Drosophila melanogaster: one gene and its partner. The protein of the gene in region 1 interacts with the protein of each later gene in a pairwise test. Each region holds a gene or a part of one and is shown on either strand. Other genes may lie near its edges.

Evidence for each region. Proteins that work in one complex are often made in the same cells at the same time.
Region 2: the proteins of CG17361 (region 1) and Ets65A interact in a two-hybrid assay, tested with the Drosophila melanogaster proteins (one large-scale study listed by BioGRID).

What each region holds. Positions count from the first base shown.
Region 1 is NT_037436.4:13,995,251-13,998,596, forward strand, and holds CG17361 (uncharacterized protein), read left to right. Parts: upstream 1-1,940; 5' UTR 1,941-1,955; coding exon 1,956-2,588; 3' UTR 2,589-2,805; downstream 2,806-3,346. Other genes in the region: CtsK1 (cathepsin K1), read left to right, coding at 1-530, 610-1,220; CG17359 (uncharacterized protein), read right to left, coding at 2,913-3,346.
Region 2 is NT_037436.4:6,095,798-6,099,555, forward strand, and holds the start of Ets65A (Ets at 65A), read left to right. Parts: upstream 1-1,819; 5' UTR 1,820-2,674; intron 2,675-3,758. Other genes in the region: loj (logjam), read left to right, coding at 1-115, 187-354, 409-465.

The DNA.
Region 1 (3,346 bases):
GCGCTACGAGATGAGGGGCTATAACACCCTGCTGGGATCGCACTACGATCATTACTACTTGGACTATGACAGCTACGAGCACGATGATATTCCCAACGAGGTGTTCGAGATCGATGACAGCCTGCAGTGCGTCGGATTCCCCGGACCCGGCACCGGTCACTATGCCACCTTCAATCCCATGCAGGAGTTTATATCCGGAACCGATGAGCATGTGGACAAGGCCTTCCACCATTTCAAGCGCAAGCACGGAGTTGCTTATCACAGCGACACGGAACACGAGCATCGCAAGAACATCTTCCGTCAGAACCTGCGCTACATCCACTCAAAGAACAGGGCCAAACTCACCTACACGCTGGCCGTTAATCACTTGGCCGACAAGACCGAAGAGGAGTTGAAGGCACGACGAGGATACAAATCATCGGGCATTTACAACACCGGCAAACCGTTCCCCTATGATGTGCCCAAGTACAAGGACGAGATTCCCGACCAGTACGACTGGCGGCTATACGGCGCTGTCACTCCGGTGAAAGGTGGGTTCATTCATTCCCTAAGTACTTACTTAGATGAATTTGATAATATTGAATTGCTTAAAACGTAAACTACCCTTAGATCAATCTGTGTGCGGATCGTGCTGGTCATTTGGCACCATTGGTCACCTGGAGGGCGCCTTCTTCCTGAAGAATGGCGGCAATCTGGTCCGGCTTTCCCAGCAGGCGTTGATTGACTGCTCGTGGGCCTATGGCAACAATGGCTGCGATGGTGGCGAGGATTTCCGCGTGTACCAGTGGATGCTGCAGTCCGGCGGAGTGCCCACGGAGGAGGAGTACGGTCCCTATCTGGGCCAGGATGGCTACTGTCACGTCAACAACGTGACGCTGGTGGCACCTATTAAGGGATTCGTCAATGTGACCTCCAACGATCCAAATGCCTTCAAGCTGGCTCTGCTCAAGCACGGTCCTCTGTCGGTGGCCATTGATGCTTCTCCCAAGACATTTAGCTTCTACTCGCACGGAGTTTACTATGAGCCAACGTGCAAGAACGATGTAGATGGACTGGATCATGCTGTCTTGGCCGTGGGCTATGGCTCGATCAATGGAGAGGACTACTGGCTGGTGAAGAACTCGTGGTCCACCTACTGGGGCAACGATGGCTACATCCTGATGTCGGCCAAGAAGAACAATTGCGGTGTTATGACCATGCCCACTTATGTGGAGATGTAGATTGTCCCGCTCCCGCCTACATATTTCTTATTTTGTGTACTCTTTTTATTTTTACGCCCACAGGGCGCTAAATATGCAATACATTTCATAAACTCTTTTGTAATCCAAGTCTTTTGAATCTTATCACTGCTCCGCTTGGCTGGAAATGGAGCTAAGTTTAGCTTGGGTCATTATCTCCGCAGTCCATGGTGTTTCTTAAGTTAATTCCATGCCGATAAGCCGATAAGCCTAGAAGACAATGACCAGTTACCAGTTGAACTTTGCGCAAGTTGCAACAGTTTTATGCGAATCGGGGTCTTTGCCATTTGTAGTGGAAATCATTTCTACAGTAAAAACTCGCTACATTTTTAAAAATTTTAATCATTTAATTTCATCAATATTAAATTAAACATATAATTAGTTTTAAGAATCTTTACTTTGAATAATGATTCTAAAAATAAGTATACCTTCTTATTTAAAAAACTTGCAAGCAAAGCATTGAATTTTTACATTAAACCCGTTTTACAGTTTTTCAATTAAAATAAATTAAAAATATAACATGAAGAATACTTTCAACTGATTCTACAATTTTCACTGCTACTACATTTCATTTTAGATTAATTGTTCATTTTAAATAATATATTTATAAGTTAATTTGATATAACAACAAATAAGTCTAAATTTAAATACATATTTATTGGCATAGATGTTGCATCCCTGGAATTGCGCCAATTGGTATTTTTCTGTTTTGGCTTGATGGTCATCCGATACAGTTTAGTTATTCTTTTTGAATTGTATTTGCTTGGAATCGAAGGAAGCAACGAAGCCATGGATGAATTGGTGAAGATGTGCCGGGTGTGTATGGACGAGCCGAAGGACCTGCTAGACATCTACGACAACAAGAGCTTGGGGGACAGACTGAGCGACGATCTACAGCGAACCAAGGAACCGGAGCCCACGCCGGCTGATTTGCTGAATATCTGCAGCGCATATCCAGTGGATACCGGGGACGGCTTTCCGCTGAAAATTTGCGAACCGTGCCTTATTAAATTGCGTGAGGCCTTGAGATTCAGGAGACGCTACACAAGGACCATGGAATACGTGGCGCGCGTGAAGAGGGAGCAAAGCGACAAGGAGACATGCGATCTCCTGGAGGCCGAGGATTGGGATTTTACGGATCGCATCAAGAGCGAGGAGGAGGAGGAGGAGGACGATGGGGACCGGAACGATAAGCAGCCGAAGAAGGAGACTCGCAACGAGGTGGATAAGAGGCGGCCCTTCAAATGCACCGACTGCCAAAAAAGTTTCACCGGCAAGGCCCAGTTGACCATGCACAGGCGCACCCACACCAAAGGATCCACAAGGACCAGACGAAAAGCTCTTAAATAGTCCTTGGCAACGCTTGGCAAAATGTAGCCAACTAAAATAGTAATTAATCATCTTGTATCATCGTTTTAAAAATAAGTTCGATATATTTTTAAAGTAGAAACAAGTTAGCGACTAATAATGAAAGTACATATGGAGTGTAGTTTTAAAAACAATTTCATGTTCTCATATTGACAATAAGATAATAAAGAAATGATAATCGGATCGATTCACAACAGTTTTTAAGCAGCTTTCTCACTTTGGTTGCGATTACTAGCTTTGTCGATTTCAAACAAGAAATTATTATATGGACATTCAATATATGAAAATACCTTTAACAAATCTTAACTATTTAAACTTATTTCTTTTTGTTTCTTGGCTGCTCGTCCGTCGCTTCCCTCGCGTGTGTGCTGACATGTGTTTTTGTAGGCCGTTTAGTTGCTTGAAGCTTTGCTGACATTTGGAACATTTGAACGGCTGTTCGCCAGTATGAGTCCGGGTGTGGACTTGCAGTTGCCCAACTTGCCGGAAGCGCTTGGGGCAGTTCGGACAACCGAAGGGACGCTCGCCGGTGTGACAACGTGTGTGGCTCTGCAGGTTGCCCTTCTGGGCAAAGGATCGCGGACATAGGGAGCACTTGTAGGGTCGCTCGCCAGTATGTATGCGCATGTGAATCTCTAGGTTTTGTTTTTGGGTGAACGACTGTGTGCAGAGCTTGCACCGATATGGTCCGGGAACCCTTTTCGGTTTGCCCCGTTTTGAGGCGTTCCAGATTTTATCAT
Region 2 (3,758 bases), 7.9 Mb from region 1:
CTCCCGATTCGCTGGCAAGCTGGTCAACATCTATATCACGGTGGTGAAGTACGATGCATGGGACAAGTACGCCAAGGAGATCGAGCAGCTGCAGCTGAACATGCAAAACTTCACTGTAAGCCAAACTGGTTTTCAGACACACCCAAACATCCATTTACAAATATTCACATTGATCTATTTCTTTAGGCCACCGTTGGCACTGTGGAGCGCAACATCAACGATATGATGGGCTATCAAGCCCACAGTCGTCATCGCGAATCGCGTGATTATGCGTTGCTCCTGGACAACAATGCCTATATTCAAACCTTCTCGATTAGCCAAATTGTGGTCATATTGATCACGTGCTCTGTACAGGCGAGTATAGACATGTTTTTTGCTTTTCCTAAATTAATAACCTAATATTTGCAGGTATTCTTTGTGCGCAAACTATTTGAAGTAAAATCGAGCTCCAAAAGTCGCATCTAAGGCGCAAAGATACTTTTCAAAGACTTCGCAACATGTTTCTAAAATTCCATCCGCATTTCCAAGACATTCATTCTATTCTACCTGCTGAATGAGTTTTTGTAACTTATTTTATCACTGGCTAATTGATCAAGCGCAACTGAGCAGACTTTTTTATAATTGGGACTACTTATGTCATACGAGTTATAGACAGCAAAACTTATTGTGATAAGTGTACATTTGTGTGTTTTGTTTAATTAAAAGATTGAAGATTTTTGTATTTGCTTTGTTTTATTTGGGAAAGAACCTTAAGGATTTATTCGAAGCCATTTGGGTTTGTTAATTTACTAAAAGCTCTACAAGCTTTAAAGTTAAGCTGCTTTGGTAAGCTCACTTAACCGTTAAATTTCATTATCCTGGAAAGGATTTTAAACTTAAAAATATATAATTCAGGTTGTTGTTTTAAGAAACCTGTTTTTCTTTTTATATGGGAGTAAGTTATTTTCAAATTACGACATTGTTGCAAAGACATCTTCTCGTTGCCTAAAACCAATCTTAAATATTAAATACATGCTGTACATGAGCTCATTAGTTTAAATTGAGAGCTGAAGACATTTCGAAGACATTCCACAACTTGGGCTGGCAAATTAATCACCCCGAATGCCGCTTATCGCAAATTATCCTGCCCCATCCATCGCAGGACCTTAAATCATGTCACCAGGCTCACCGCTTATCTAGACGTCATTTAGCACATGTGTGTGTGCTCTGCAGCAGCTGGCATGTTAATTATATCCTTTTTGGCAGGCAGCAGGAGCATCTGGGTATCTTGGCGGGTCTTTTGTGGCCACTGCTGCTCGAAATTAAAATGTTATTATGCGAGGCTTATCTGCGGGCCTTAAAGCCACCGCAAAACTAAGGTCCTAATGGCCTCGCACACCAGCACACGCTCTTTAACTGTTTTAAACGCCATTGTTAAAATATTGCTCATACGCACTTCCGCCCAAAATGGGGTCTTCTCTCTTCGGCAGCACTAATGATGCCCCAAGAACGCGGAGCAAAGGACCCGGCGAAAGGCAGGAGCATCCACAGCCATAGCCACATCCACATCCACATCCCCGATGGCACAGAGTTGGCTCCGCCCACCAGCAGCCGATGACAGCGGCAGATAACAGAGCAGCGGCAAAGTGGGCGGTGGATGGGGTTGTGGTGCGGAGAGCGCGCCTGCGCATTAGCCGCCGCAGAAACGCAGGACGATGGGGTGACACATCCTCGGTGATAGCGCCCAGTTCCCCTGCCACACAGAGCCACCGCTTGTGGGAGGAGTGTGTCGCCATCTTTGAGCGTGGACTGGTGACTGGACGGGATGATCTGGCCGCCACATTAACTTGGAGTGCGCGCTACCAAGTGCAACACGTCGCGGACGACATAATAGCGGTACTTTGCGGTTTAGATTCGTCGGTCACACGTCGTCAATATTCCCGGGACAAGGACCAAACTAGCGAACCTTTCTTGGTCAGCACAAGCGGCAAACGAAGGCACAAAAACCACAAAAAACACAAAGCACACACACGGCACACACTTGTACACTTACACACGGCAAGCAGTGCGGAAAACTTGGACACATACGCCCAGCTTGTTGCTGGCTGTGGGCGTGGCAGCGCACGAAAAAGAAACAGACAAGGACACACACATGTGTCCTGCCAGTGTGTCGCGGAAATTTTTGTGCGGAAATTATAGAAATTTCGCTTTTTGATTTCATTTTCGTTCCGCTTTCGTTGCGAACCTCTCACCCCTCGCCACCCACCACCACCCACCTTTTGTGCACCTGCACCTGTGCGAAAAGACATCGAGAAATGCCCAAGGAGCCCGCTGCCGTCGGTGTCCAGTTGGCTTGGTGGTCGTCGCCGTCATCGTCCTTGCAGTGACAAATTTCCTTGCATATCCGCTCCAGGACTACGAAACTTTGGCTGCAAACAAAACCGTCATTTGCGTGGCGCGTCGCTGTCGCGTTCACTTGTCGCATATCCGTCGCCATTTTGACAATAATTTCATTTCCGGTTGGCAATTTGTACGCACTTGAGTGAGTGATTAACTGCACCGATTCCCAACGATTGTGAAGTGTTTAAGATTACTAAGTTGTAACTTAAGTTGTCCCGACGGAAGTTTAAGAGACAGTCAAAGAGGAGACTTATTTTTGGATAAACTTTATTGCACATACAGGCACAATCCTGAGGTGAGTTATGTTCGAATTATAGAATGATCAACATGATTCAGAACTCCGACGGGGTCCTAAATAACTAATGTATTTTTAAGTGCTTTGTTGAACCAAAGTTGAAGTAAATTAAAGATAATATCGTAACGGTAGAATTTTATTCAAAAATTGAAAACATACTCCTAGGCTTAAATGGGGAAAATCTCCAGCATAAAATGGGGAAAATATTAAATGCATAAAAATATTTGAAATGTACGAATTCAGAATACCAGACATGTTGAAGTCTATTTTAAATCTAAAAATTTATAACCAATGTCAGTAAAGAATAATTACAATAATAAACTTTAATATTTTGATAGAATTTATTTCGAATTTCTAAGATATTTGTAAACTATGATACTTTCTATTCAAACATTCTGATCTGATAAATTAAATCCACTTACATAGAATTTTGAGCGCTTAGATACAGCACCTGTGAACTTAGATGGTTGCTTTTAATTTCTAACTAACGACAGTTATCCAACCCCTAAAAAGCTCACCCCACCATCATCAGATAATTGTGAAGCATATGTTTCTGCTAATCGAATTAGTAGACTTAAAACGGAAGTATTCATAAACCAGAAAAAAAGCACATCAGCAGCATCATTGGGTAAAAGCTTGACAATTAAACAGCAGCACAGTTTCATCAACCAGTCGGCTGTGCAAACATTCAAAAATCCTAATTTCCTAAAATCGCATAAAAATCTTACAAACCATTAAAGAGCAGCCAAACGTGTGGCCTCTTAATTAAAGGATCTCTCGTCCAACAAGGGGATTACACCATTAACAGCTGTCGAAGAGCATAAACTCGGCAATCACAGCGATACCAAGTGGTATTCAAAGGACTCAGCACGCGCTGCAGAACGGGACGAGCATTCAGCCCATCTGCAGACCGACATCCTGGCATCCCGCTCGTATTTCCGGTGTGCGCGCGTTCGCTCAGCGATTGTGATAACTTGGGGAATACAAGGATACCAGAATACAAAAAAAATAAAATGTCTGCCTGCTAATGTTCGCTGGTGAAATTTGCCTACATGCAAACGCAGCCACTCGGCCTGAGTACAAA